Linked DNA regions of Ovis aries. The protein of the gene in region 6 purifies or fractionates together with the protein of the main gene of each other region. This does not show direct contact. Links are inferred from orthologs where the notes say so. Each region holds a gene or a part of one and is shown on either strand. Other genes may lie near its edges. The genes, in order: PSMA3, DNAJC13, PKM, PRMT5, DNAJB6, STUB1 and MAP3K5.

Region 1 (4,479 bases), on a different chromosome or scaffold from region 6:
ATTACCAATAACAAAGAGAAGGAGACATTTAATATTTGGCTAAAACACTAATTTCAAGTAAAACATTGTTTCTTACCTACTATTTTCCACAGCCTTCATAGCATATTCAACTTGAAAAACTCTTCCATCCGGAGAGAATGTAGAAGCTGACAGATCATACTACAAGGAAAAGGCAATAACAAGCTTAGAAGGATGCACCTTTGGCAGTAATAACAATTTTTTCCTAAATGGTTTACACATCAGAAATATATGTTCAATCTCAGTGAAGATTTTGCTGTAAAGAGAAAGGGAAAGTATGTCAAAGCAGGAACAGCAGCTAAGAGAAAAGTTACACACTAGATTTCTGCTATTGACAAGCAATGAACACAAGTCCTGGGTAAAGTCAGAACTTTTCCCACACAGAACATGGCTCATTTCTGAAAAAATTACCATTACCAGTGTAGAAACAACACTGGCTTCTCTTTAGTACCACAGCTTCTCATAGCTGTGGCAGTAATGAACTAAAGGAGCTTGGATACATCATTCAGCATTCAGATATTTAATAAGCATCTATTATATGTCAGTCACTATGAGAAAATACAAAGACTACTCATTCTTAAAGTCCTTCATTTTCAAATCAGACCTCAAACAGATCCAGGTGCTGGAGATAAAAGGTTCTAAAATAAGACAAAGTGAACTTATGGTCTCAGGGAATACCACAGACTACCTGATCAGGAAAGGCATTGCTACAGAAATTATATTTATGTTATTTAAGCTGAGCCAGACCTAAAAGACAAGTAACTACTCATTTAGAATATGGAGGAGTGTCCTGGCATCTGGCATAAAAGAACTCAGGGTAGAAACAAGAGCAGCAAAATTAAGAAAAGGAAATAATAATGCCACTGAATCTTGAGCACCATAAATGGTAAACAGAACAGTAAACTATATTAGAGGCATATAAGGGCCAAGTTATGCTAAGTCTTTTATTTTAGGCTGGAACAGGAAGTTTACGTTTTATTCTAAATGCAATAGAAAGTCATTGGAGTTTGGGTGGGGTGAGGGGAAGAGGTTCTAATTTTTTATTAAATGCTGTTCATCTGGTAAATGAATTACAGAGAAAACAAGAGTGGAAGCAGAGATAGGGTAATCCAAAGGGAGTGTCTTAGACAAGAGAGAAAGACGTGGAAGGTGTTACCCTTTGAGTGTGCAGTCAAAAAAACCTTGCTAATGGATTGGCTTTAGGAATACAGTAAAAAAGAACTCAGAAGTGCACCATAGATTTTTTTTTTTCATTTAAGCAACTAAAATTGAACCATTCACTGAAATGTAAATTGTAGGAGATGCAAAATGGCAACAGAAGAAGAAAACTCAGAGATCTACTCTGGACGTGTCATTTGAAATGCCTATCAAATAATCAAGTGGAGAGAAATGTCAAGACAGGTCTTCCCATCTGGAGTTCTTGGGACAAGACAAGCGTTAAGTCTTCAATAGTGGTGTTTCTTGCCTCTCAGCTTGTTGGTCTGTTAAAGGAAGATCTTTAACTCTACCAGCATTAATACCAAAACATCTCACCTATTTATATTATCAAACATTTTTAAAGGGTTTGTATAACCTTTCAGAACACTATTAATCTAGGGTAATTGGTCTGTTGGTCTGCCGAACGAAGATCTTTACCACCGTAATACTCAAAATTTATCACCTATTTATATTACCAAATATTTTTAAAATGTTTGTAGAACCCTTCAGAACACTATTAATCCAGGGTAATATTAATGTAGTTGCAAAGTCAATGAGCATCAACTAATCCAAAAACAGTATGACAACCTTAGTATAAATTGTCTATTATCTAACTCGGAAAACCAGTATTTGGGCCTAATGGTGAGAATCAAAATCTAATGCACAATGGGAGTAGATGAACTGAGAAACCCATTACCCAATGCCTCTAGTGGAACCAATGAATAAATATTTCTAAACACTATGTTTTCTATATGGGGAAATACATAAAAGGAACAAGCTGAAGACTGTATATATGCAGTACGTTTAACAAAGGAAAGTTAGTAGGCCGAACAAGTTAACAAATCTAACTCCAAAATCCTGGACAGTCTGTTCAAAGAAGCGGTTAAGTCCGTAGCTAATCATTTAAACGCTTACGGTGCCGAGACCTCACACTGTTGTTATTCCTCTAGGAGAAAAGCTGGGACAACGGAAAAATGTAAAAGATTCTTCAGATTCCGCTTTTTAGACAATTTTCCTTGTCAGTTCTCAGAAGGTTTCAGGGACTCATACAGAGAGGTCCATCGGTAACCTCGAAGCTAAGGCAGAGAATCCCCGGGAGTCAGCAGCATCCCAGGAACCGCAAGGGTGGGGAGGCGGGGAGAGGTTCTTGGAAAGCGGCGTCACAAACTTTGGACTCTTAAGCCTCCTTGCCTCAGTGGTGCTCAAGAGCTTAATTGTTGCCCAAGTCCTTCACAGCGCGTGCACACACACCATTTCAGGCCTCAAGAGTTTCCACTTTCGGTTTCCCTAAGTGGCTAAAGAAAGTGACTCAGCAACCTTTTAAAGAGGCTCCAAATCTCACTGCTGCGCGGCCAAGCCCGCTACACCTGAGCTGAGAAGCGTCAAGTCACGGTCACCGCAGGCGCGGGCCTAGACCGTCCGGCACTGCACAACTGGAAGCGGCCCACCTGCCCCCAGGCAGTCCCAGAGGACCCCGAGTCCGCGCACCCACCGCGGTCTGTCTGCGTTCCCTTCCACGCTAATCCTTAGCCTATCACACAGAGAAACAAAGAACTCACCCCGGTGCCGATTGAGCTCATGGTGCCAAAATCACTAGGACGCTTATGGCTTCAGGCCTAAAGCGATCCCCCAGCACCACAGTAAGAGACTAGTAACAAGCTCTCTCATTGACTATTCTTTCAACCAATAGTCTTTTCTGTAGCTCGTTCCTGGAGCGTTGGTCCACGGAACAGAGGATTGTGGGAAAGGAGGGGGCGGGAAATGCACCCGGCAAGTAACGCGCATGTGCAAAAGCAATCTCACCGGGGTTAGGTAGGCTCTTGGTTGTTTCGTCTTCGGTTTGAGTTCGTAGATTCGTTCTGTCTTCTGGTTGCTTGAGAAGCTCCGCCAGTCCTTTTCCTAGAATTATTATTTATCTTTTATCCTTCTCTTTCGCTTCCTTATTTTTTTTTTTTAAAGCAAAACGGAGAGATGTTCTCATACCCTTACAAAGGCCAGAGAAAACGGTAAGGGAGAGGTCTCCCTCCACCATTGGCGGCCTGGTTCTAACCCAATATGTTGAAGCAACCCTATCATCCACCTATTCTAACAAGAAGGAAGAAAGTTGTATTCTTGCATTCTAAGGGTATCACCTCTGGGCTTAGGTCGGAATTTTACAGGATTAGTACCCTTTGTATAACTCTAGTAGAATTGAGGATAAGCTTGATTAAATATTATTTGTTGAACTCTGTATGTCCCAAATACTCAAGTTACATCCTGCTGATGAAACGATGAAAGGGACGGCACCTCATCCTTTACACTCAATGGGAAGAAACAAGCAACAGGGAGTAAATGGGCAAATAGTTGCACCTTTTGGTAAAAAAAAAAAGAGAGAGAGACAATGGACGTTTGAACTTTAAACCTGTTATTTAAGGAATGACTTTCCGAATGGGTGATACTTAAATGGAAATTTGGGATTGTTATCTCAGTATAAGCTTGGCTTATAGGAACTGTCAGGTCAGTATGGCCTTAAGCGGGAGAGAGTGACAGGAAATGAAATCAGAGAGGTGGATATGGAATCAGATTTCATAATAGTTCGAATTTTAATCTGATTTTAAATGGAAAGCTGTCAGCATTTTTTAAACTGCTAAATACTTCCGTGTGTATTTCCCCCAAAAGAACATCATTTTAAATATCCACACTGTAACTGTGAAAATAGAAAAGTACCATTCCTTTTTTTTTTTTTTAATCTGCAGACTTTGTTTACAGATTTTGGCAAATCCCTCAATAATGCCCTTCACAGCCAAAGAAAATCCAAGATCACATGTTGTATTCAGTTGTCATGTCTCTAGTCTCCTTTAATCTGGAAACACTTTCTTAATATTTCTTTAGATTTCATGGCATTAACACTATTGACAAAAAACATTTGCTTTATAAGATATTCCTCAGTTTAGGTTTGTATGATGTTTTTTCATGATTCAATTTGGATAAATGCAGTTTTGTCAGGAATATGACAAAAGTAACCTTCTATTCATATTAGAACCTTATGTTAGGAGGCACATTGTGTCAATTTGTTCCACTAGTGATGATGTTAACTTTGATCACTTGCTTTAGATTTCTCCACTGTAGTTTCACTTTTGCCCTTTGTAATTTATAAACATCTTATGCAGAAATACCTGGAGACTATGTAAATATCCTGCTATTCCTCCACCTTTTACCCGCTAATTATAGTATCTGATGATTCTTATGATGATGGTTTCCAAATGGTGATTTTCTAATTTTTCT
Region 2 (3,681 bases), on a different chromosome or scaffold from region 6:
TTAAAATCTTAAGAGAAAGGACTCTGAGAGTAAGTTCAGCTGAGCCTCTCCATCTGGACACTCGAATGTTCATCTCTGAGGTGTGGGGTTTAATCAAGAAAGGCAGGATGTTCCTTATAAAAAAAAATGGTCATAATCTATAGCTCTGTTTCTACTGCCAATTAAAAAACAGGGTCTCAGCACCTTAAGAGGTTTCTGCTGTGTCCCAAAATTTACATGTAACTCAGAATTTCAAGACAAAAACATGCAATGAACTCCAAATTTGAATTTTCAAAGTCTATTCAGATTTCAGATTACAAATAGCTGGGCAAAGGAAAGAAAACTATAAAAAAAGATAGTTTAATGTAACTTTTCAAAGAAAGTTTAGAAACTTTCAAGTAACACATTAATACTAATGAAAATAAAACTGTGATCACTGTTTATTAAATATTAAGTGACATACTGTGCTAAGAATTTTACATAAAGTATCTCATTTGATCAAAAAACCTAAGACATACACATATTATTCTCCACATTTTAGAGAGCAGCAAATTGGAATTCAAGCTGAGGTCTACCTGATACCAAAGCCTGCACCCAAAATACCATACTTCCTTCCAGAGGACTCAAAGGAAATTTCAAAATTAAGTGTAAACACTCTGCTTTCCTTCAAATGGTCATGTCTCTTTTAAGATAACTTTTTAAAAACACTACTTACCAATCTACTAAATCCTCCATAAAGTATACAAAACCCTCCTTGATAATCAGAGAGATCTACAAAGCCTTCAATATTTCTATAGTCATAGGAACAGAGGACTCTGTTTGTTGCAGGATTAATCTGATCAAAGCCTCCTGGCGTTACTTCCAAAATGACAGGTTTTCTTGTATCACTCCAGTGATGCTTATAGCAGTTATATCTCTGCAGAGAAAAACAATAATACTTTTAAATTTATATTTCAGGTTACCATAAAACACCATTACATCTAATGTATCACTCATTGCAGAAAAAAAAAAAAAAAGAAAATCTGTATTATAAAATTTTAGAGCTACTACTCAAATTCTTAACGACATTTTTACTTTGGCCATCTGGAGGTTTATGTTTATTCAATTAAGAATGTTGAGGCTAACTAAAGACAGTATCATATCAGTTGAGATGCTCAATTGTGTCCAACTCTACGACCCCATGAAGAGCAGCACACCAGGCCTCTCTGTCCAACATCAACTGCCAGAGCCTACCCAAACCCATGTCCACTGAGTCAGTGATGCCATCCAACCACCCCATCCTCTGTCGTCCCCTCCTCCTCCTGGCCTCAATCCTTCCCAGCATCAGAGTCTTTATCAGGTGGCCAAAGTACTGGAGTTTCAGCTTCAACATCAGTCCTTCCAATGAACACCCAGGACTGATCTCCTTTAGGATGGACTGGTTGGCTCTCCTTGCAGTCCAAGGGACTTGGACTCTTGAGAGGCTTCTCCAACACTACAGTTCAAAAGCATCAATTCTTTGGTGCTCAGCTTTCATTATAGTCCAATTCTCACATCCGTACACGACCACTGGAAAAACCATAGCCTTAACTAAACAGACCTTTGTTGACAAAGTAATGTCTCTGCTTTTTAATATGCTGTCTAGGTTGGTCATAACTTTCCTTCCAAGGAGTAAGCGTCTTTTAATTTCATGGCTGCAATAGCCATCTGCAGTGATTTTGGAGCCGAAAAAAATAAAGTCTGACACTGTTTCCGCATCTATTTGCCATGAAGTGATGGGACTGGATGCCATGATCTTAAGTTTTCTGAATGTTGAGCTTTAAGGGAATTTTTTCTTTCCTCTTTCACTTTCATCAAGAGGTTCTTTAGTTCTTCTTCACTTTCTGCCATAAGGGTGGTGTCATCTGCATATCTGAGGTTATTGATATTTCTCTCAGCAATCTTGATTTCAGCTTGTGCTTCTTCCAGCCCAGAGTTTCTCATGATGTACTCTGCATATAAGGTAAATAAGCAGGGTGACAACATACAGCCTTGACGTACTCCTTTTCCTATTTGGAATCAGTCTATTGTTCCATGTCCAGTTCTAACTGGTGCTTCCTGACCTGCATACAGGTTTCTCAAGAGGCAGGTCAGGTGGTCTGGTAGTCCCATCTCCTTCAGAATTTTCCACAGTATTTTGTGATCCACACAGTCAAAGGCTTTGGCATAGTCAATAAAGCAGAAGTAGATGTTTTTCTGGAACTTTCTTACATTTTCAATGATCCAGTGGAAGTTGGCAACTTGATCTCTGGTTCCTCTGCCTTTTCTAAAACCAGCTGGAACATCTGGAAGTTCACGGTTCACATATTGCTGAAGCCTGTCTTGGAGAATTTTGATCATTACTGTACTAGCATGTGAGATGCGTGCAATTGTGCGGTAGCTTGAGCATTCTCTGGCATTGCCTTTCTTTGAGATTGGAATAAAAACTGATCTTTTCCAGTCCTGTGGCCACCGAGTTTTCCAAATTTGCTGGCATATTGAGTGCAGCACTTTCACAGCGTCATCTTTTAGGATCTGAAATAGCTCAACTGGAATTCCATCACCCCCACTAGCTTTGTTCGTAGTGTTGATGCTTCCTAAGGCCCACTTGACTTCACATTCCAGGATGTCTGGCTCTAGGTAAGTGAGAGTGATCACACCATTGTGATTATCTGGGTTGTGAAGATCTTTTTTGTACAGTTCTTCTGTTCATTCTTGCCTCCTCTTCTTAATATCTTCTGTTTCTGTTAGGTCCCTACCATTTCTGTCCTTTATGGAGCCCACCTTTGCAAGAAATGTTCCCTTGGTATCTCTAATTTTCTTGAAGAGATCTCTAGTCTATCCCATTCTATTTTTTTTTCCCTCTATTTCTTTGCACTGATCAGTGAGGAAGGCTTTCTTATATCTCCTTGCTATTCTTTGGAACTCTGCATTCAAATGGGTATATCTTTCCTTTTCTCCTTTGCTTTTCGCCTCTTCTTTTCACAGCTATTTGTAAGGCCTCCCTAGACAGCCATTTTGCTTTTTTGCATTTCTTTTCCATGGGGATGGTCTTGATTCCTGTCTCCTGTACAATGTCACGAACCTCTATCCATAGTTTATCAGGTACTCTGTTTGTCAGATCTAGTCCCTTAAATCTATTTCTCACTTCCACTGTATAGTCATAAGGGATTTGATTTAGGTCATACCTGAATGGTCTAGTGGTTTTCCCCACTTTCTTCAGGAGAAAGTGTATAAAGAGTTCATGATCAGATCCAGTCAGCTCCTGGTCTTTTTGCTGACTGTATAGAGCTTCTCCATCTTTGGCTGCAAAGAATATAACCAATCTGATTTCACTGTTGGCCATCTGGTGATGTCCACATGTAGAGTCTTCTCTTGGGTTGCTGGAAGAGGATGTTTGCTATGACCAGTGCATTCTCTTGGCAAAACTCTATTAGCCTTTGCCCTGCTTCATTCTGTACTCCAAAGCCAAATTTGCCTGTTACTCCAGGTGTTTCCTGACTTCCTACTTTTGCATTCCAGTCCCCTATAATGAAAAGGACATCTTTTTGGGGTGTTAGTTCTAAAAGGTCTTCTAGGTCTTCATAGAACCATTCAACTTCAGCTTCTTCAGCATTACTGGTCAGGGCATAGACTTGGATTACTGTGATATTGAATGGTTTGCTGTGGAAACGAACAGAGATCATTCTCTCGTTTTTGAGACTG
Region 3 (4,260 bases), on a different chromosome or scaffold from region 6:
CTTCTCAGCAACTTCATGAGCTCTTACCACCTCAGTAACGAAGCATTCACTCCCTCTCTGCAACTGAGGGAACCAGAAACAGCTTATAGAAGAGATTAAAATATTTTATCTTAAACAAATTAATGTTGTTACTTTTTGTCAGCTTATCTGAGCTAACAGGAAAGCATAATGAAGGCCTGTGATTCAGCTGCAGGCAGGGTGTCTGCCTGAGTGGGTCACACCCATTGGTCTCTTTTTTCCAGGAAAAGGAAAGAACCTAATAGTATTCACGATTTTTAACATTGTATCTGCTCAAAATTTGGCGGAAAGAAGGCAAGAGTTAACAGTTGCTTCTTAGATAACTGCTGTGATCACTAGGAAATGAGAAAATGCCTTAAGGAAAAATACAAGAAAAGCTCCAACAATATTGATTAAAATACACAAGGTTGAAAACAGAAATTCTTACTTTGGCAGAGATTATGAGATCTAACTTTATGACATTTCCTGATATGGTCAGTCCTGCACTAATATTAATACCTTCTATTCACTTTCTACTCTCAGGCACTCGCACCGCAGGACTCCAGTCCCTACTAAAGTCTTCACATGGCCTCTACTTGTCCTTTGTTCTAAACCCTAAGAACAAAAGGGCCTCGCGCTCCCCCTCCTAGCACACTCCGCCCTCCCGCGTTCTCCCCGCCCTCCCCTGTTCTACCCCCGTTCCAGTGTAGGAGCCCCTCCTAAGGCGGCCGGGACCTCCAACCATCCCATGAGTCTACATCCCCCACCCCACCCCTGACTGTTCGGTTCAGTCTTCGGGGCGTGCGCTGGGGCGGGCACCCGGGCCAGGGGATTGCTGCCCGGGGACCCATAAATCTGGGCACTATCTGGGTAGGCCAGAGCCACTCAGCTGGGGTGGCCTGGGCCAAGGGTCAAGAGAAGACCTGGTCCAGTATTCCAAGTTGGCCGCAACAGGTGGCCTGGGCGCCGGGGGGTCTGGGAGGGAGGTCTCCAGAGCTCCGAGGGCGGGTCCTCCCGTCTCGCCGCTTCCCCATTGGGCTCTGCAGAACCTCAATGCTGCGAGTTTTATTTTTCGTGTCCTTCCGCCACGGAATGTAGTCCTCCCTCAAAGGGCAACCTGATTCCCCCGTTCCGCCTCCGCCGCACTTCCTACTGAAGGTGACTGCCCGGCGAGGACGCGGAGGGGCGGGGCCCCGAGAGCCGGGAGCCAGGATTGGGTGGGAGGCGGGGCGGCGGAGGGATTGCGGCGGCCCACAGTCGGGATAACCTTGAGGCTAAGGCAGCGGATCTCCGCATTGGAGCGACGCGTCGCGAGCCTCCGGACTTGTGTGCAGTAGCAGCGCATCCCGAGCCGGAGCACGTCGGAGGTGAGCGTGGGGAGAGACTGGGCCATCGTCTCCCGGGGCAGTGCGGAATGCTGGCCCGCCTGCGGACCCAGGATGGCGCAGGGTCCGGGGCATCTTGGGCTCACCCGGTTGGGATCAGAAAAGAGGAGAAAGGCTGCTTGTGCCTAGGATCTCCTTCAAAGCCCCCAGCTCCCGCTTCTTCCGAAGGCAGACGGGTCAGCCAGCCCCTTTCCTGCCCCAGTCCCTGACCTCCCATCCCCATTCTGGTCCCATTCTCACCTCCCTATTCCTCCCTCTTCGACCTGGTCTCGCTCTCCTCTTCCTCCCTTTATTCTCCTAATTTGATAGTTTCCTTTCATGCGTCAGTCTCCCCCGTTTCCACTCTGCTCCTATGCCCGTCCCTTTCCCATCATCCTTAATACTCGCTTCTTGTTTTCAACCTGTCCGTGTCCCCCTCATTCTGATGCTTTCTTTGTAACTTCTCCTTGAAACTCCCCAAGCTCCGCTCCCCTGTTCCTCCTCCATTCAGCTGCTGTCCCCTTCTAGTACCTACCCTCATTCACGCGCTGGCTCCCGCCCCTCCCCCGCCTCTCTGGTCACGTCCGCTCCAGCGCATCCCTCTCCTGCGCACCTTCCTTCGCGCCACCAGCCTCCTCGCCCCTCCCCCTCTGTTCTGGTCACGTCCGCCTGCTCTCCGTCCCCGCCCCTCGGCCTCCCATCTCCTGCCCCCCCTTCTCCATCGTAGTTCCCCAGCCCGGGGCTGGAGTTCCGGGGTCAGTCCCGAAGTGCATTGGTCTGCGGATGGGCAGGCTGGCTCCCAGGCGGCCCGGAGATGGATGCAGTGGCGGCCGGAGGCGCAGTTAGAGGGTTACGTAACCCTTGGTCTAACCCGCTGCAGAGGAAGAAAGGGTGGCTGCCCAGTGGCGCGTTCCTGTTTTGTGCCGCCCAGAATACGATAGAGCGGCCGCAGCGCTCCGCTTGCTCCGGGGGGCGTTGGGGGTGGGGGCGGTGCCCCGGGCTCCATCCCGCCGAGGCGGGGCTGCACGTAGCGGCGCCGGACCCGCCCTGCCGCGCCCGCTCCTCGGCTTCAGGAAACTCTGACCCTCGGGCCCGTTACCGACCAAGCATCATCTCCGGCCCGACAAGCTTCTGGATGCTGCTCAGAGGCCTCCTCGAGTTCGAGGCACTCACCTGGCTCCCTGCCTGTGCTTCACGTTACTTAACAGCGTTGCCTAACAGATGCGCCCGATTGTAGAGCGCGGAGGCCGCGGGTTGAGGAGAGTAGAAATATATCAAGAGCTTGGTGCCACGTACACACGCTCATTCATTAAAAACTCGTATAAAGAGTTGTTTGGGGGAGGGCTGTGGAGACCAGACCAGATTGACTAAAATCGTCCTAGCCCACAGAGCTCAGTCCGATTAGGAAACGAATGTAAAAGTTACCACTGATAAGTGCCGTGAAGAAGGTACACGCGGGCTTCCACACGTGGAGGGTACGCACTTCCTGTCGGGGTTTAGGAGGCCTCACCAGGTGGCATCACACGGGGTGTGATGAAGCGGAAAAGCACCTTCCAGTCTGAAGATTATTTGAAGACTCAGTAATGGGTTGGCATCTCTTGTCTTCTTATCTATGTTCTTCAAACCCGGGACACTGACCCTCCCCCATACAAATGAGCCTGATAACTGAGGTCCAGACATGACGGACAGAGGCAGTGGGAAGTTGAAAACAGGCTTTCAGAATCAGGTTTAACTCATTACATACTGATAGGAATAATAGGGGGAATTCAGCCTCAGGACCTGTTTCCCATGTGAAAATTGTAACTATTTTCATCTTGGGTGTTGAAAGGGTGGGTCGCTATATACATACTTAAACATAGATACATATTGAGTGTCTATACAGGGTGCAGTGTCTAATCTCTGGTGCGATGCCTCCAGATGTATTCTTTTGGTCACTGAGCCCAATGACTTCATCTATAATTGAACTCGAGCGCTCCTCTTCTTGCTGCCATCCCGAAACGGTCATAGTTCATCTTTGGGAGTCAGGCTGTATGTAAATACCAGAGATCTAGAAACCAGTCGCTCAGGAATCCTGCTACAGTGTTGGCAAAGTAACTAACAATGTTACCTTGCTACTCTCCACTTGCAACAGGGGCTTTTTGGTCCTCCAGCCAAAGGAAGGCAAGAAGGGAGATGGCTTTCAGCCTTTGGTATTATAGCTTTTGGCTATAAGATTAGAAACAAACTTGGAAACCTAAAACTAAAATCTTCAGGTTCTATTGGCACCTACTCCAGGTAGCATTCTGGGATTTGCTCAGCCAGCTGGTGTGAGATTAAGATAAGAGGCAAAGGACAGTAGCTCCTTGTTTGCTGTCTGCAGGGTGTGGCCACTCCCTGGGGTGTAGAGGAGGCTCTAGGTCGGGACTCTACAGCATTGTTAGCAAATAATTCACCCTCAGGTTGCCTGAGGATGCTGTTGGGAATGCAGGGGGAGCTTTTCTGAGGGGAGGAGTATGTAACATCACCAGATCTGTGTTGGGGGTGGGGTGGGGGAGGATGTAGGGAAGATGACTCAACCTTTGAATTTTTCCGCTTTTAAGAGAACTGTCTTCGTTGGGTGAGTGGGGAAACCACTGTCGTCTTTGCAGGCTTAAGAATCCCCTCTCCCCTTTCAGTGAGTCAAATAGTGAAGTATGCATTCCTCCCAGTTAAGAGCACCTCAGCTAGGTGACGATAGTGGAGGCCCCCAGGCTCTCTGGACAGTGCTTAATTGCCACGTGGCAGAGCCTCAGGCCCCAGTGATAGTCTGCACCCCTGTCCTGAGCCTTGTGCAATGGATGTGGCAACCCTTTTGGGAATAAGCATTGTAGGGAAGATGAATAACGATGAACTTGATGAATAACGATGAACTCATTTCTGC
Region 4 (4,182 bases), on a different chromosome or scaffold from region 6:
AATCAGCCCCACAAAGAAAAAAAAAAAAATCCCATCACACATATGTGAGTAAAACAAGATTAACTGGAACACCTTTAGAACCCTTCCACTACACACCTTGAGAAGTCGGAAGATCAGCCTCTGGTGCATCTTAGAAAGAACAGGGAATCCCTTCTTATTGGTCAGGAAAATGCTGGTGGGGAGAATGGCTGCTTTGATGGGCTCCCCAAGCCAACGATCAATGACATGGTTAGATGGGAGGTCAGCACCAATTTCAAGAGCTACAAAAGGGAAAACAAAGACCTGTCAATCATACAGGCCAGAATCTTTGCATGCTCTTTTGTGCAAGATCTGTCTCCTCCTTAAGAGCAAGGCAGACTAAAGCATGGAGAAAGTATGCCCCAGCAGCCAAGTATACATGAGACTCCTGATTTTTAGTCACAGGATTTCAGAGAAGGATAACCTATCCCAGGATCTTTGTGGACTCACCCACTGCAATCCTCTTGCTGTAATCACACAAGGTCCGGAAGTTGTGCCACCTGTGCAGAGTTAAAACACAGAAGTTAGTTGCTCAGTCATGTCCAACTCTTGTGACTCCATGGACTGCAGCCCTCCAGGCTCCTCTGTCCATGGAATTTTCCAGGCAAGAATACTAGAGTGGGTTGCCAGTTCCTTCTCCAGAGGGTCTTCCTGACCTAGGGATTGAACCCAGGTCTCCAGCATTGCAGGCGGACCATTTACTGTCTGAGCCACCAGGGAAGCTCCATCAAATACATACGGCCCACTAATCACCACACCTCAGGGAGACCTTCCTACAGGTTCCACTCTGTACTTCCCTCCACCCCAGGTACAGTGGCAAAAGGAAACATACCACATCCATGTCTTCTCCTCTCCACTGTACTCCTCTGTGTGAGAAGTTGGTGCGTTCTCAATTATATCATCTCTCAGGTCCTCTGGTGCCACCAATGGCACCCGCATCCAGAACTGCACATGAACAATAAATAGGTTCCACACCCTATTTAGAACTGTTTTGAACCCATTGGGTCCAGAAAGCTTCCTTCAATTAAAAAGATCTTGATCCAGATTTCAAGCTAATCCCCTTATATCCTATTCCCAATTTGTGATTATATGTTGTCTTTTATCTCTAGAAGTTGTGGGAAATAACTGATATTCTATACGTTTTATAATACTTTGCTCACCACTCTTAGTGTGGGTAGGCAGTACTGACATTTCAGTTCTCCCAAATGCACCCTTCACTGAATGGCTAGGAACAAGAAGATACTTAGCACAGCCTGACTATCATAATATGCAGCAGGGAAGGAAGCCCTTGCCATACCATGGAGGAGTGGTGGCCAGTGTGGATGTGATTGGTCAAAACTCTCGCCAAGTTTGTGTTATCTTCCTGATTTAGGGGCAGCAGAAAAGCTGGAAGACCCAAATATGCCCCAAAATTCAGCTCCTGTAACATAGCCTGGAATAGAGATTAAAAGGATAAAGTTAAGAGCTAGCAACTCAAATAGCTTTAATTGCATTATATCAAATTTACTAAGTTACAGAGTGGGGAAAAAGTGCTCTCCCCACCCAACTTGTTTACTGATATTTAGTCAGTGAAGAGGTCAGTCTTACCGCCTCAGAGTTCCTGCGTATCTTCTCCACTTTTGAGTCTGGACGAATCCATGGAGAAAGCTTTCCCACAATTAGTGTATTCCAGTCTGCACTCCCCCACCCAAGAAAGACAAAGACTAAATAAGGTTCAGCACTTTACTCATTCAATTTCTAGTTCTTAACAGGGAATAGAGTTACAGATGAGACAAAGACTTTTTCTATCACAGATACAGGAGAGCCTGACAGAATAGGGAACTAAGGCTTTTAGTAGGTAGGTAAGGAGTTATCTATATCCGTGGGGCGAACCAATATATCCAAGTGAAGAAAGGAAGAGGAGGAAGGCACTGATAAAGCATAAGTTGTTACTGCCTCTAATAATTAAGGGGCATGTGGGATGCTCCCTACCCCTTCCTGACAGCAGTAGGTCTGATCGTGTCTGGGGGCCCGGCCGACTCTTAGCAGGTTCCTGAGTGAATTCCCTCTTGAAACGCGGGTGGAACACAGGCATGCAGAGGAAATCAAACCTACAACCGCGACAGACCCAGAATCGTCATGTAAAGACAGCAGCAGTGCCCAGAGATCCAAGTAATTGGACTGGCTCTCTTGATTCTGCACAACCCTTTCAGCTGCCACCAGCGACCCGACTAGACTGCTGAATTCAGCCAACCTTGGGGCATATCACTTCCGCTGCACTGTGCCTCAATTTCTCGCCAGGACACAGCCATGGAAAAGATGAGTTAAGAGAAAAGATGAATATCCACACCACGTGGACTTTCTACTCTGCTGTCACTGGTTTTCCGAGACTGTCACATCCAGATCGGCAGCAGTACTGCCTAAGTATCCCCCCTCATGGTTTAACTCTCCTCTCCCTAACCTCCTAACTATTTCTCCCAATCTCACACGGGGCCCTGGAGGTCTCTACGCCCCCTTTTTGAATTTACTTGATAACTCCTCCGACTTTGGGGTTCAGTGACCACACGCCCCCAATAAGTTTCCCGCCCTCCTCTCAAGCTCCAGGGCCCGAGGCTTCTCCCCCCGAAGGACTAAATGGTTTCTCCCGCCCTGGTCTCATCCACTTCGACCCCCTCACCCCTGCCTCTCGGGGATGACTGGTCTGTCCCTCTCGGTCCCCGAGTTCGGACCCCGCATTCAGCTCGCGGAGGTCCAGGCCCTCACCCCTGCTTGGCCACAGCCCCCAGTGTGTCAGCTATTTCGGGGACGCAATTCAGGTCCCTCCCGCTGGACACGCGGCTTCCACCGGCACCACCGACCGCCATCGCCGCCATCTTTTCCCTCGCGCAATCCACGCCGAGATTCCCTGAAGCTAGCAGCCAATCACAAAGCCGGAAAAAAGCCCCCAGAAGGCGGGACGTTTCACCTTAACAACCAGAGCGTCTCCCACGGCTCTAGAGCTGGAGGAGGAAGGGTGGGGAGTGGCTCTTCTCGCCAATCCGCGGGCTTCACAGTGACGTACGGCGAGGCTTCGGAACAGTCACCAATCTCAGGGTCTGATTCTCGACGAACTTAATCTCCCATAATGCTTCGTGTACTCGTAGAACTCCGTGCAGAGACTACACGTCCCATGAAGCCCTGCAGTATAAGCTTGAAGTGTCATCATTGGGGCCAGCGAAGTCGTCTCGGGGCCAGTGGCGCAATGGATAACGCGTCTGACTACGGATCAGAAGATTCCAGGTTCGACTCCTGGCTGGCTCGGGGAGACGCGTGTGTTTTTGTTGCATCCCATGCAATACTGTCATAAGCAGTATTTTGAAAGTATCCCGTTCTTCCCTTTCTAAATTTCCTTATGATCTCCTCTTACCCTCATTTTTAGCTCATAATTTTATTGCGTTCTGCAGCCATTTTATGTCAGCGTTTTCCATTGCCTAATTCAAAGATGGTTCTTGTGTCTCTATTTAGGTCCTTCAAAATCCTGAGAAAATTGAGGTAATGACTAAATTGGGCTTTGTATGGGCCTTAGTATATTTTTTAATAGATTGTGGCAATTTAGCCACCAACTCCTTTCTATTCTATATCTCAAACAAACAAAAAGTAAATAAACATCTAAACACACACTGAAGATAGGAAGGAAAAGAAAAAAAAACTCATGGTGAGGAATTACAGTGGAGAGGAGTTATGAACAGCCTGGCGGAGACCTGAGAGAATCTCAACATTTTCCTTTCTAGAGAATTTCTACATTTTCTTTGTGAACACCTGCTACAGGGATGGAAAAGAACGAAGCAAAGAAAGATATAGGGAGGAGAAAGAGAACCTGAAGACCCAGAGGTGTTGAGGGCCTGGCAGCGAGGATGGATAGAGAACACAATACGGAAGGCCCGAGGCAGGAGGTCACAGAACTTAGTGACCAACGGACAGGAAGCCTGATAAGGGAAGTCTGCGGCTGAAGCCCAAGATTTTGGCCTCTTTGAGTGCTACAGGAAATGAGAAGCTCTTTTAGGGAGAATCAGGGTTTGGGTTTGGAAATGCTGAATTGGACGTCTAGGGGGCGCTGTGTAATAGAGAGTTGGAGGAATAGTGATCAGAGCCAGACAAGATTTGGAAATCGCCAGGAGAGGTAGTGACTTTAGCCACGAGACTGGA
Region 5 (4,339 bases), on a different chromosome or scaffold from region 6:
AGGAAAGAACTCCTGGAAGTGAGGCCTCCTCCAGCGGACCGCCACTTGCTCTGCAAAGGAGTGAGAGCAGCTTGGCGCCCTCTCTTAGAGCTCAGACCCACTGCCCGGGCACAGCGCACCCAGCTGAGAAGAGGAGGAAGCGGGAACCTGCCGGTCCCGGAGATTCACCGCCTGTCACGGCACTTCCTACACTCCGAGAAGGACAAGCAGAGAGAAGGAGCGCGGTTCTGTAGCTGAAGCCACATGGGTCCTCGCTCACCCCTTGAAAGCTTCTCTAGTGGACGGCCTCTCCTCTCCAGCAGCATCCCTGCAGGATGACCGTGTCCGGGTTCCCAGTAAGCTGGCATATTCCCCTCACTTCCCCCCGCTACTTTTTTACTTTATCTCTTAACATATTTGACTTAAAAAAATTATTTAGTTTTAATTGAAGGATAATTGCTTTGCAGGATTGGTTGGTTTCTGTTGAATCAGCCGTAGGTGGACCCGCGTCCCCCCATCCTGAGCCTCCCTCACACACCCTACTGTTCTGAAGCCCAGATGAAGCTGGAAAGGGCTGTCTGGGGTTGAAATGGAAACTATGGTCACAGGACAGGGCTTCCCCAGCACATAGCCACCAGCAAATGGAACCCCCCCCCCCCCCGCCCAAGATGGAGCCAGGGCAGCCCCCTGACCCCCCAGCTCTAACAGACTGTCCCTTCAACACAGACCCTGCCCCCCTACTCTGAGTTCTTAGTTTCTCAGAACTCCGGGAAAATTGAAAAAGCAGTCGAATGAACAGGTGTCTTCGCCTCCATTCGCCAACTGCTGCTGCCCCTCAGCTCAGTCTTTCTTCCTTTTCCAGTTTTTGCTGAGCCATCTGAACGCGGGTTACAGACATCCTGACATTTTGCCTCCAGCTGTCTTAGCACGTATGATCTCATAAGGAAAGCTTCCTCGTGTCGAACGTCATCACTCGTAAGAAAAGAGACGTTCGTGCAAGAACGTGATCTAACGTGCAACTGAAGGGGGCCAGAGTCACCCTGGCCTTCCCAGGCGGCGCTGGTGGTGAAGAACCCACCTGTCAATGCTGTGGGTGAAGAGTAAGAAGAATGAGAGTCAGAGGTTCGATCCCTGGGTCGGGAAGGTCCCCGGGAGGAGGGTGTGGCAGCTCACCACAGCATTCTTGCCTGGAGACTCCCCAGGACAGAGGAGCCTGGAGGGCCACAGTCCATGGGTTGCAAAGAGTCAGACATGAGCGTGCATGTACCTAGAGTCAGTTCAGCTTTTATGGGGCCCCCGCAGGGATGGAAGTTGCTTTCTTCCTGTTACTCTGTCTTATGTCAGTTTAACTGTTAGACTGGCCAGAGTCTAGAAGAGCAAGGAAAGAGTTTCCTCCCCAACAGAGTCCCCAGCTGCATCCACAGCGTCTCACTTTGTTCTGACGTCGAGGAGGAGGAAGACTCCCAGCCTGTCCGAGGGAGGCCTGGCGTGGAGTGGAGTGGACGTGGGGCAGCAGGGACGTCCCGGGGCCGGTGCCCACGCAGGGGTCACCTCGGGTCAGTTCCCCAGCCTGGACAGAAGGCCTGCTCCCTCTCGTTCCCGAGTCCCCCGGCTTCGAGGGGACCACTCTCTGCAGCTGCACCCAGCACCTGTGTCTTCTGTGCCCCGTGCCCTGGAAATCAGGCCCTTTGGAAGTAGACCCTCCCAGGCCTCTCCTCCCTGGGGACGTCCATCAGAATCACCGTAGCCCTAACCCTCCCAGTACTGGCTACCCCTCCAGCCAGCACCCACAGCCCCATGCCCAACCCCCAGTGCCTTCCAGGGTCTGAAGCACAGAGTAGGTCTCCGCAAATGTTTATGGACTAGATGGGTGAATGCGTACTGACACCTTCCTGCACCCAGAGGCTGGAGATGGTGGTCCAGGAAAACCTTGGCCCAGAGGGCTCGCTCCAGCCGGAAGGATGCTGACGGCCAGCCCGGGGCCCAAAGAGCAACCTAGGGGGCCAGGGGCAATTCTGTAGCCAGAGGGCAGGCTCCGAGCTCCCTGGGTGCAGGCTCCAGGCTCACAGTCCTGCCAGCCATGGGGGTGGGGGCGTCAGGCTCAGGGGACTGAGGCCCTCTGGGGAATACTGGCGCTGAGGGGCGGGCTGCCTTTCTGTGACCCTGCCCCCCAGCAGTTCCCTGTGCTGTGCAGGCAGAGGAGGGCCACACAGACGTGCCTCAGTGCCCGGGTCCCCGGCCCGCTCCTGTCCTGTGTCCCGTTCACCCTCTGATGGACTCGGGACATTGCCTCAGCAGCCAGCTCGGCCAGCGGTCACCCTCCGGGAAGGAGAGGCCTTACTGTGCTCCGGGGTGGGAAGGAGAGGATGCAGGCAGACCACCAGCCGCTCAGAGGTGCTTAGAGGTGAAGCTTCTCAGGCTGGGGTTGCAGGAGCCCCCAGGGCTCTGAGAGCTGGGCCCCAAAGGCCCAGCAAAGGGACCCCACCAGGGGCGCGTCTGCATGCCTGCCGACGTCTCACAGTGAGCATCAGCGGCGTTAGCCATCCACGCGGGCCTGCGTTTTCCAGAAAGAAGGCAGGCCTGGGAGCCCGCCAGCCGCCCTCACTTAGACACCGCCCGGCTCTCAGACCCACAGCCGTCACCAGGATGACCCCAGGAAACCTCACACCGCTCAACAGATGAGGGGGTCAGCTCAGGACAGCCACCCGCGAGGGCTGAAAGTAAGGCGGGCTCTCGTCTGTCTGAACTGCACCTTTTTATCCAGAGTGAAGGCGCTCACGAAGCCGGGAAGCCCGACGGCTGCGTGGTCCGCCCGCCGGAGTCCCGCTGCTCCTGGGGTCGTTTCCGTTTCCGGGGGGCGGGCGGCTCGCCGCAGGCTCCAGGCCCCTTCCTCCGGGCATCAGGAGCCGGAAGTCTCGCTCACCTGACCTGACCGGCGAGCAAGCCCGCGGCCGCGCCCAGGTCTCTGGTTGCCGGGCGCCCGCTGGCCGCGGCCCACATTCCTTCCATTCTATCTGCACCCACGTGGCTCTTGGCGCCCTTACAGCAGCCGGACGCCCCTCGTCTTTCCAGCCCCTCATCACTTGGCAAGCAGTCCCGGTATTAGCAGGATTTGCGGGTCAGAACGATAGAGGCAGACGAACCAGATCCAACTGGCCGGGGTTTCAATCCTCCCAGAGCTGCAGCCGCCTCTGGAAGGGGCTGTTGGCCAGCGTCCCCGTGGGGCACGGGCGCGCTCCAGCCACCCCGGGAGAGCCGAGGCCCTCCGCCAGCTGGTGGGCCCCCTGTCCTGCCGGGGGGCGGTTCCTGGTCCTTAGGGACCCCGGGCTCGGGGTGGAAGCCTCAGTCCCGCTGGGTCAGCAGCTGACTGTTTCCAGGGAGATCTGGTAGAAACTGCCCTGCCCTGCCTCCACTTTCCCCACTTTGTTCCCTAGAATTAAGCCTCAGGGTCTAGGTTCTTGGCCATTTAGAACTGCATGCTGATTACAACAAAGTGAAATAAGTGTAACTTCTTACGTCTGTTAAGATCAGAGAAGATTTTGGAGTGATGGGAATTAATTCTTTTTCCCCCCCAAAGTTGTTTTAATTATACTACTCCCTGGAAAAGACCCTGATGCTGGGAGAGATTGAGGGCAGGAGGAGAAGGGGACGACAGAGGGTGAGGTGGTTGGATGGCATCACCGACTCGATGGACATGGGTTTGGGTGGACTCCGGGAGTTGGTGATGGACAGGGAGGCCTGGCGTGCTGCGGTTCATGGGGTCGCAAAGACTCGGACACGACTGAGCGACTGAACTGAACTGAACTGAGAATGGAGACAGCATCCCAGTCCGGCTCTGGCCAGTGGGGCGAGGTGAAGGGTAAGGTGGCAGACTTCCAGCACTTTCTTTAAGATGCCCCAACCTCCTGGAGCAGGGCCCAGATCCCCCTGCCCCGGCCCCCGGCCTGCCCCGTCCTGGACCCCCCCTCTCCTCTGCCTCGGGCCGCGTCCTGGGCAGGCACCAGGTCTCTCCTTTCTGCCCACTCCTCCTGATGAACATAGCAGGAAGTACTCCGGAATCCCAAGAAAGTTAGGATGGGAACCTCCCTGGTGGTGCAGCGGTTAAGAGTCCATGCCTTCAATGCTGGAATGAGGGTTTGATCCGGTCAAGAAGCTGAAGGCCCACATGCTGTGCAGCTGAAAGGAAAGTTAGGACCAAGCTTAGAAACGGCAGAGGGACCCCGACCCTGCCGGTCAGCTGGCACCAGTGACAAGTGCTGGGACTTAACACAAATGTATGCAGCCTTCCTCTGCGTCTGGCACAGACCGCTAAGACCCTGGGGATTTCCTGAGCCATAGTTTGAGATTCATAAGAAGCCCC
Region 6 (4,268 bases):
TGCAGGTGGGTGCCCTGCAAGACGAAGGGACTTGGGGGCTGGCTGGGGGAGGATTAAGCTTGGTAACCAGGTGCTCCTAACTTGCCTCACAGGAGCTGGCTCTGGGGTGCCCTTCCACTGGCATGGACCTGGGTTCTCGGAGGTGATCTATGGCCGCAAGGTCAGCACAGGGTGCAGGCTGAGACTCTGGGTTCACTGACCAAAATACAAAGCATAACTTTGCTGCTCCCCGCCAACCCCCAGCGCTGGTTCCTGTACCCTCCTGAGAAGACACCCGAATTCCACCCCAACAAAACCACACTGGCCTGGCTCCAGGACACATATCCAGCCCTGACACCATCTGCACGGCCCCTGGAATGCACTATCCAGGCTGGTGAGGTCAGTGGCTGGCAGACGGGCCAGGCTGAGCCAGGCCAAGGACCCCCATCCAACCCATCAACCCACATGTCCCCCCAACCCCTCGCCAGGTGCTGTATTTCCCGGACCGATGGTGGCATGCCACACTCAACCTCGACACCAGCGTCTTCATCTCTACCTTCCTCGGCTAGCCAAAGGGGGTGGCTGGCAAGCCCACCGCACACCAGCACACATCCCTGCAGTACTCACAGGTTTTATTACAGGGACAGAGGTGGTGGCAGCAGCCTCAGCCCAGCCCAGCCTCACCCCCCCTTTCCGGCCCAGAAGGAGGATGAGAGGCGTGTTGCCCAGCAGAACTGATGGGGGTGGGGGTGGGGACACCAGGGTAGGGATCCAGGGACACAAACTATATACAGAAAACTAGGGGCTGCTGCCCCAAGGCCCTCCTGAACTAGGGTACCGGGCAAGGCAGGTGGGTGGCCCATACACCCACCCTGCTCAGTAATCCTCTACCCAGCCATTCTCAGAGATGAAGGCATCGATGACCTCTTTCATGGCCAGGTTGGGGATGAGCTGTTCCTGGGTCAGGGGGCTCCGAGTCACAGGGTCAAAGTGGCCCACGCGCTGCAGTGACAACAGGGCAGAGTCAGGGGCTGCTCAGTGCGCGTGGGCCCTGCTGCCAGCGCCCACAGACCCTCACCTGCAGGTGCTCCTCGATGTCCTTACGGTCGTATGTGATGCCACTGGGCGTGATGCAGGGCTCCCGCATCAGCTCAAAGCTGATCTTGCCGCACAGGTAGTCAGGGATGTCTCGCTTCTGCAGCACACAGGGTTGGATCAGGTCAGGGGCTGGGAAGGGACACTGCTCTAGCTACCCACCGGCCCCAGAAGACGGGCAGCTCACCTTTCTCTTCTCGTCTACCTGGGAGAAGAGCTCGTCCATGTCTGCCAAGTACTTGTCCTGCAAAGAACCAAGCAGCCACTTGTGGGCCTGACACCCCTCTCCCCTCCCCAGACACCGAGACACAGACCCAGCAGGAGCCAGGGCACCTCACATCACAGCGCACGCACACACAGGACCCACACTCGGGCTGGGGCACCCTCACATGCTTGGCCTCAATGCAGGCCTGCTGGGCCCGTACGTGGCTGTCGTCCTCGTCACCCTCGTGGTTCCGCTGACACTCTTCCAGTTCCCTGGGGGTTGACCAAAAGGTGTTCAGAGATGGGTCTGGCCAGGGGCAGTCAGACTCCACTCCAGACTTAGGATCATTCAGGCCCCTTTCCCTCCATCTCCTGCGTGCCAGAATTGGCCTTCAATAAACACTTGTGTTCACACCTCAGAGTTAACCTAAGAGTGGTGACTCGAAGAGGGGGAGCCCACCTCTCACGCTCAGCCACAATGAGCCGTGTGAGGTAAGAGTGCAACTCATTTTCCTGGTGGATGCGTCGCTCCTCGATGCTGTTCCAGCGCTTCTTCTTTGCGATGCGCAGAGCACTGGGGATGTCATCCCCAAAGTTGAGCCGCTGCTCCTTGGCCAGGTTGTAGGCTGGGGGATAGAGCATTTGGGTAAACTTCAACCAGTCCACCCACCTGGTCCCAGGCACCCTGGAACCAGCTAGCCTGTAAGCCCACCTCGCTGCAGGTTGGCAATAGCCTCATCATAGCTTTCCATCTCCAGCTGGCATTGCCCCAGGAAGAAGTGTGCCTTCACAGACTGCCCGTCCAGCTCCAGGGCGCGCCGACAGTCGGCCAGGGCTTGCTCGTGCTGCTGCATCTTCAGGTAGCACAGTGCCCGGTTGGTGTAATACACGGCCACCAAGGGGTTCCGGGTCTGGGGACCAAGGCCGGGCCAGCCAGCATGAGGGAGTGAGCTCAGCCTGCCCACTCCGTCCCAACTTGAGGCCCGCGGTTGGAACCAAGACACTAGCATTTTCTCAGCTTCCAAGCCCCTGGGTTCTGAGGGAGGGTGAAGCCTACGTGAGCCCACTCTCTGGACTCCAATGAGTCTTGTGAAGGTAGTTTTCCCGGACTCATGGAAATCCCCAGCATCGCGTTTGACTCCTCAAGGGGCAGGGATGCCTGGTCCCCAGCCCAGTGGGCCTCGAACACCTACGGTTCCCACCCAGCACAGTTCTCTGGCAGCCCGCACTGGCTCGGGAAAGGCGCGGCCTTGGCCCCAGACCCCAAGCACCCACCCCCTCCCTCCGAAAGTCTGGCGGGCACGGCCTGACATGTTCTGAAGAGGGCGCGCGGCAGAAGCCGCAGCTCGGCCCCTCCCCTGGCTCGGACGCCAAGCCCCTCCCGCAGCGCGGGCGCACTCACGATGGCGCGGCCGTAGCAGGCCGCTGCCTCCGGGTACTTGCGGCCCACGAAGAGCCGGTTGCCCTGCTCCTTGAGCTCCTGTGCGCTCGGGCTCTTCTCGGGGCTGCCGCCGCCGGCGCCCAGCCGTGCGCCGCCCTCCTTCTCCTCCTTGCCCTTCATGGCGCCGCACGGCACCGCCTGGGCTCCGCTCCCAGGCTCCGCGCCCAGCCCGCCCTGCGCCCGCAGCCCGAGCCCGCGATCCGCTCGGGCTCGGTCCAGCGCTCCGCCACCGGAACTTCCGGTCTGCAGGTAGGCGGGGCCAGCGGAGCGGACCGCCGCACGGGTGGGCGGGGCCGTGCGTGCCCCCGGCGCGCTGTGGGGGCGGGGCCGGCAGGGAGGGGGACTCTGGCAACGCGACGCGGCGTCAAGGTTTGCGACGCGCTGGGTCACCCGGGCAGACGCCCGCCCGGCCGCGCTCCGACGCCCCGCCCCCGAGGCCTCGCCTGGCGCGGGGAGATGGCCGCGGCTGGCGGGCTCTGGAGCTGTGAGGACCCAAGCCGCTGGGCCGCCGTCTTGGAGTGCCGCGGGGCGGTGCTGCGGGCGCGCGCGGGCCCCCAGGGGCGGCTGGAAGCGCTGGACCGGTGGTAGGGCGGAGGGGGCAGGGGCGGGCGGGCCGAGCCCCGTGGCCCGGACTCCGTAGCGCCGCCTTCCCCCAGGTACCGAGAGGAGCTGCCCGCGGCCATCGGGGCCCGCGCGGAGAAGCACGTGACACTAGACGAGCTGCAGCGGCTGCTGGCGTGGAAACTGGCGGTAAGGCTTCCCACTTGGGGCGCGGCACAGCCACGTGGGTGGGGCTTCCCAGGGGGCTCACCCTCGTGGCAGTCTTGAGGGGCCTCCCAGCGAGGGCCGCCACCCGTGACACCCGACCCGACCTGGCCACAGAGGGGCCGCTTCCGACCGCGCCTGCAGCAACTCGTGGCCGCCAACTCTCCGGAGCTGGTGGTGCAGCGTTCGGCCGCCGCCTTCCGCCTCCTGCCAGACATGCACGCAGCGGTCATGGCTCTGTGCGCCCTCCGTGGCGTGGGCCCGGCTACCGCCTCGGGTTAGTCGGGAAAGCTGGACCACCCCCGGGCAGGGTCGCTGGCGGAACCTGGCCTGTTAGTGTCCTTATCCATGAAATGGTCCGACGGCCAGATACATGATACAGGAGAGTCGCTGGGGACAGCAGCCCCAGGCCCAGGCGGGGCTGAGTGCTGTCCATTCACTGCCCACAGCGGTACTGGCTGCCGGAGCTCCTGAGGCGGCAGCCTTCATGTCTGAGGAGGCAGTGGCCGCAGTGCCCGGCCTGCCCGCCCTGCAGTACACTGTCAAGCACTACCTGCTCTACCTGAGCCGGGTGCAGGAGCGTGCAACAGCCCTGAGCCAAGGTGCGGAGACCACGGGCGGCCCGGGTGGTCACGGAGAGCTCTCTCTGACCGTAGGAAGATCGGTATCTCCGAGCCCCAGACTCTCTCTGCCCTTCTCTAGGCAGTGCATCTGGGCTGTGGACCCCACACCACGTGGAGACGGCCCTGTGGACCTGGGCTGTAGGGCGGAAGATGTGCCCGGA
Region 7 (4,143 bases), on a different chromosome or scaffold from region 6:
TATGAGATATAAATTTCATAAATCTGACAACATCCATTAACCAAATTTTGTTGGAATACAGCCATGATGATTTATTTAGGTCCTCTTTATGGCTCCGCTTGAGTAACACCTGCAGAGCCGAGGAGGTGTGAGAGACACCTCCAGCGAAATCTACAACGTTTATGCCATCTGGCCCTTTACAGAGGACAAGCAAGTGCTCTCTTAGAAATCAGAAGTCGAGTTCTACTACTGTTCACCTTGGCCTCCCTCAGTTTAGAAAACAAAACCGATACCATTTTCATTCTGCCACATCTTCAACGTTTTCTTGCTGAATGAGAGACCTGAGGGTTCATGTCACAGGCAGGGGTGAAACTGGGGCCTGCCTAGTTGAGCTCACCAGTGGGATGGGACAGAGCTGGCCCGGAAACACTGGTCTCCCTAAAATGTGCCCTCCTCCCCACTATTCCACAAAGCACACAATGGCTCACAGGGTCCCTGCCAGCTCTCTACCATGAGTTTGACGTTTCCCTCTCTTAATTCTGAGAATAAATCAGTCCAGCTAAATGGACGTAGCAAGGGTGAAGCCGGACCTTTTAGAGTCAGGCACTCAAAGTGGGACCCTCCATTGACCAGTTATTATCCATGACCTTGAACCAGTGATGGAGCCCTTGGTTTTCTCATCTAAGAAGATAGCTAAGTACTACTTCCCTCATAGGCTTGTTTGGAGTATTAAATGAGATACATTTCAAATGTCTGGTACCTTCTAATCTTTCTCTCTCCCTTTCCCAGAGATAGTATTTGGAGAATAAACATTACATGAACCTTGTTAGGAAAGTCTTTCAAATTAGCTTAAAGATTATTTTATAAAAAAAATACCCAATCTATCAAAACAATAAAAATAGGTTTAGCATTTCATTGGGTGTTTTCCTCATATATCTTTCAGTTCTTTGAAGCTTTTTCCAAATTATAATTCAAAAATAAAAATGCTGTAATTTTTAGAAATGTTATATTTATGTAATTTTTACAGCAAGTCACACAAAGAACCGAGCTAAACTATGTTCTACCCATGTCCAGTTATGAAGACTAAGATGGTAAAATACACCAGAACCAGAAAATCCTAGTTTATTTAATCTGGCTTCCTTAACATGAAGTTCTTGTTCTTAAAATATTCAGTTTTGGCTGAATTCCAAGACTGACATAAGCCTTCTTCAGGTGTTCTGAAAAGACTGAAGAGAATCAGAACTGGAAACAAGATTGGAATATAAAACCTTCTATGTGATCACAATGCAAGAAACTTATTGTCTGAAAGCACCATTAAATCAAATTTTATGCCCACACTTATTAAAAAAAATGTATATATTCTCAACATTGGTTGTACAGGGTGCTAAAGGTTAATTTCAGTAACATGCTTTTATCTCTAACATTTGCTAGCAGATAGCAAATTGCTTCAGTCACTTGAATCGCAGTGACACTTTCTGAAATCTGTAATAGGCTGAAAAGATTTTTTTTCGTGAATTACTCTAGCAGTCACTTTAATGGGCACACTTTAATGGCCAACCTAACTTAGTTACTAAAACTGCATATCAGCGTTTTACATAATGTTAAATTATCTACTTGCCAGCCCATCGGGGTATATGGAGTCATAAAAAACATACTCTGCTCTTTTTCACCAAAATTCCAACAGAGATATCTCGCAAGTTTAGTGTCAAGTTACAAAAGTTGCTTTTCAAAGTAATTACTTGACAATTCAAATTGGTAAGAGATGGGAAATCAAGCCACTAAACTTCAGGGAAAGGGAGTTGGGAAGATCGTGACATAACATGCAAATTCACACAGATCCACTCTGCGTGCAGCTGGCTGCGTGGCAGAAGTCAGAATTTTTGTACTCTCAAAAGTACACGGAAAAAAATGAGGACATCTTCTAAAACAGGCACAGGTATATATAGAAGGAAAATGTGGGCCAAATCTAACAGAAGAGAAACCAAAACACTGAATAGGGCAGGGCTGACTGGGACAAGTAACTCGCACTGCAGGCGAACAGAAGTTCTTCAAGAGGACCACACGCACCCCTGGATTCCCAGAGCGGGCCGGCGGCCGGGGGGTCAGATTCTCTGCCACAAGCTGCGAGCGAGCCGAGCAGTCACGCAGCGCCGCTCACTGCCCCTAAGGTGGGGCAAGAAGTAAATAAGTAAGATGCTCGATTGCTGCCCAGAAACTGATCGATTTTTTCTACGGGAGCAGGGGGGTGGGGGTGGGAAACAACAGCTTTCCCCCTGCGGTGGCCCCCGACCGCGGAGGCTGGGGCCCTGCATTGTAAAGTCGCACGCACCTGCATTGTAAAATCGGTCCAGCACCGCAGTTTCTCCAAAGTCCAGTTTCCCAAAATGCAGGGTCTCCAGGGCGGCGCCCACCGTCTCGCACGCCTCCCGCAGGCACTGCAGGGCCTCGCTCTCGGCCACCACCAGCTGCCCCTGGCTCGCCTCGTTGATGACATAGGCCACCGTGGTCCGTCGGCCGCCTCCGCCCCCAGAGTTGCCCCGGCACCGGGTGGCGCTGCTCCCAGCGGTGGCACTGGGACACCCGGCGCCGGGAGCGGCGGCACTTTCCACGTTCCAGAAGCTGCCCGGTGGCGGCGGTGGCAGCTGGGTCTCCTCGCCCTCGGCCGCCGTCGCCGCTCCTCCCCTCCGGTAGCTGCCGCCCTCGGCGAAGGGCGGCACGGAGAAAGTGATGCCCTCGCCCGCCTCCGCGCTCATCTCTCCCGGCCGGACTGCCGCGGCGGCGTCTCCCGCCCAGCCGCACCGTCTGGCCAGCCACAGTTCGGGGCTGCTCCGTGCGCGCCTTGCTAAGCAGCTGCCATCCCGCGTTGCGCCTTCCGCGCCGCGCCGCCGCCTCCTCTCCGGCGCCCTCTCCCCCGAAGGGACGCCGCTGCCCGGCGGCGGCTCGCCCCTCCTCGGCGCCTCCGTGGCCGCGCCGCTCGCCCGCTGCAGGGTGTAGAGTACAAGGGGTGGGGAGCCGGGCTGAGCGGGAAGGGACAGGGCTTCCTTTTCTTGGCCGGCGGACAAGTCGGCTCGCGAACCTGCTAGGCGGTGCGGCTCAAGGGCGCCGCTCTCCGGGTGCGGTGCGCCCTGGCCACCCGGGAACGCGGTCCCGGCTCCTTCCGTGCCGGGCACCCTGGGAGGGGCCGGGGAGGGCGCCCTCTGGGTGGGGAGCTACCTGGCCAGCACCTCGCGGGCGGGCAGACTCCCTGGACCGCGTCCCGGAACAGCGGCAGCAGCCGCCGAAGGGATCCGCCTCCTTCCTCGGCGGCAGCTCCCCTTCATCGGCTCTGTTTCCTCCTCCTGCCCCGGCCCCGTTCTCTTCCGATTGCCGCGGCCGCTTCGTCCCCGGCACCAGCCTGGTAGCTCGAGTCTCCCCGCTCCTTGAAGCCGCTCGCCCGGTCCGCCACCGGCTTTTTGCCGCCCACTCGTCGCGGCACCGAAAGTCTGGGCCCGCCCCGGGGGAGGGCGCTGCTGGGAAGCTCGAGTCCGGACGAAACCGACCGCGTCGCGGCTCCCGGACCACGGCCCAGCCCGGAGCACCGCGCGAGGCCAAGGTTCTCCTCCGTCACCCACTGGGCTCCCCACCCAAGACAACCTGGAGTAGGCAAAAGCCCGGAGAGCAGGCGACTATAGGATGGCACAAAAAAAGTCTCTCTTGCGAATACTCGGGTCTTAGCCAGCGCCAGGAGGCACGCGCCACGTTCCCCGTAACCACGGCGCCCTCCTCCGGCCGGTGCCGGCCTAGCACCGCCGTGCGGTCGGGTCCCATGTGCGCGCCGGGAGCAAGAGGGTAGCGTGGGGAGGCCCGCGTGGCGCTAGGCCCGAGGATTTTAACTACGGTCCTGCAGGCGGCCTCAACTGGAGAGTGGTGTATTGGTGACAGTGGCTCTGCGGGAGTGGCAGGCTGAATTTATCGGGTCTGCCCCTGGTACTTTACGTTTTCAAGTTTTCAATAGCTCTGCTGTCGTGAATCGGAGAAGGCGATGGCACCCCACTCCAGTACTCTTGCCTGGAAAATCCCATGGGCGGAGGAGCCTGGTAGGCTGCAGTCCATGGGGTCGCGAAGAGTCGGACACGACTGAGCGACCTCGCTTTTACTTTTCACTTTCATGCATTGGAGAAGGCA

The links.
Region 1: the proteins of STUB1 (region 6) and PSMA3 purify together in Homo sapiens (affinity purification with western blotting; 3 studies listed by BioGRID, with this or other methods). This does not show direct contact. The link is inferred for Ovis aries from reciprocal best matches to the Homo sapiens genes STUB1 and PSMA3.
Region 2: the proteins of STUB1 (region 6) and DNAJC13 purify together in Homo sapiens (affinity purification with mass spectrometry; 3 studies listed by BioGRID and IntAct, with this or other methods). This does not show direct contact. The link is inferred for Ovis aries from reciprocal best matches to the Homo sapiens genes STUB1 and DNAJC13.
Region 3: the proteins of STUB1 (region 6) and PKM purify together in Homo sapiens (affinity purification with western blotting; 3 studies listed by BioGRID, with this or other methods). This does not show direct contact. The link is inferred for Ovis aries from reciprocal best matches to the Homo sapiens genes STUB1 and PKM.
Region 4: the proteins of STUB1 (region 6) and PRMT5 purify together in Homo sapiens (affinity purification with western blotting; 3 studies listed by BioGRID and IntAct, with this or other methods). This does not show direct contact. The link is inferred for Ovis aries from reciprocal best matches to the Homo sapiens genes STUB1 and PRMT5.
Region 5: the proteins of STUB1 (region 6) and DNAJB6 purify together in Homo sapiens (affinity purification with mass spectrometry; 4 studies listed by BioGRID and IntAct, with this or other methods). This does not show direct contact. The link is inferred for Ovis aries from reciprocal best matches to the Homo sapiens genes STUB1 and DNAJB6.
Region 7: the proteins of STUB1 (region 6) and MAP3K5 purify together in Homo sapiens (affinity purification with western blotting; 3 studies listed by BioGRID). This does not show direct contact. The link is inferred for Ovis aries from reciprocal best matches to the Homo sapiens genes STUB1 and MAP3K5.

What each region holds. Positions count from the first base shown.
Region 1 is NC_056060.1:68,603,123-68,607,601, reverse strand, and holds the start of PSMA3 (proteasome subunit alpha type-3), read right to left. Parts: upstream 2,858-4,479; 5' UTR 2,796-2,857; coding exon 2,775-2,795; intron 160-2,774; coding exon 77-159; intron 1-76. UniProt on the Homo sapiens protein: Component of the 20S core proteasome complex involved in the proteolytic degradation of most intracellular proteins. This complex plays numerous essential roles within the cell by associating with different regulatory particles.
Region 2 is NC_056054.1:257,886,302-257,889,982, forward strand, and holds part of DNAJC13 (dnaJ homolog subfamily C member 13), read right to left. Parts: intron 896-3,681; coding exon 695-895; intron 1-694.
Region 3 is NC_056060.1:19,006,253-19,010,512, reverse strand, and holds the start of PKM (pyruvate kinase PKM), read left to right. Parts: upstream 1-1,289; 5' UTR 1,290-1,364; intron 1,365-4,260. UniProt on the Homo sapiens protein: Catalyzes the final rate-limiting step of glycolysis by mediating the transfer of a phosphoryl group from phosphoenolpyruvate (PEP) to ADP, generating ATP.
Region 4 is NC_056060.1:21,732,829-21,737,010, reverse strand, and holds the start of PRMT5 (protein arginine N-methyltransferase 5), read right to left. Parts: upstream 2,885-4,182; 5' UTR 2,871-2,884; coding exon 2,761-2,870; exon of another isoform or gene 2,734-2,760; coding exon of another isoform or gene 2,675-2,733; intron 2,109-2,674; coding exon 1,990-2,108; intron 1,692-1,989; coding exon 1,606-1,691; intron 1,451-1,605; coding exon 1,316-1,450; intron 964-1,315; coding exon 851-963; intron 519-850; coding exon 469-518; intron 261-468; coding exon 97-260; intron 1-96. UniProt on the Homo sapiens protein: Arginine methyltransferase that can both catalyze the formation of omega-N monomethylarginine (MMA) and symmetrical dimethylarginine (sDMA), with a preference for the formation of MMA.
Region 5 is NC_056057.1:120,184,935-120,189,273, reverse strand, and holds the start of DNAJB6 (dnaJ homolog subfamily B member 6), read right to left. Parts: upstream 2,832-4,339; 5' UTR 2,732-2,831; exon of another isoform or gene 1-2,731. UniProt on the Homo sapiens protein: Has a stimulatory effect on the ATPase activity of HSP70 in a dose-dependent and time-dependent manner and hence acts as a co-chaperone of HSP70. Plays an indispensable role in the organization of KRT8/KRT18 filaments.
Region 6 is NC_056077.1:1,117,844-1,122,111, reverse strand, and holds STUB1 (E3 ubiquitin-protein ligase CHIP), read right to left. Parts: upstream 2,840-4,268; coding exon 2,681-2,839; exon of another isoform or gene 2,675-2,680; intron 2,190-2,674; coding exon 1,991-2,189; intron 1,905-1,990; coding exon 1,739-1,904; intron 1,698-1,738; exon of another isoform or gene 1,552-1,697; coding exon 1,464-1,551; exon of another isoform or gene 1,319-1,463; coding exon 1,262-1,318; exon of another isoform or gene 1,175-1,261; coding exon 1,058-1,174; exon of another isoform or gene 982-1,057; coding exon 856-981; 3' UTR 595-855; downstream 1-594. Other genes in the region: JMJD8 (jmjC domain-containing protein 8), read left to right, coding at 1-5, 93-160, 244-378, 468-548; uncharacterized protein LOC101103616, read left to right, coding at 2,838-2,968, 3,376-3,469, 3,602-3,761, 3,934-4,086, 4,187-4,268. UniProt on the Homo sapiens protein: E3 ubiquitin-protein ligase which targets misfolded chaperone substrates towards proteasomal degradation.
Region 7 is NC_056061.1:62,061,346-62,065,488, forward strand, and holds the start of MAP3K5 (mitogen-activated protein kinase kinase kinase 5), read right to left. Parts: upstream 2,979-4,143; 5' UTR 2,733-2,978; coding exon 2,309-2,732; exon of another isoform or gene 1-2,308. UniProt on the Homo sapiens protein: Serine/threonine kinase which acts as an essential component of the MAP kinase signal transduction pathway. Plays an important role in the cascades of cellular responses evoked by changes in the environment.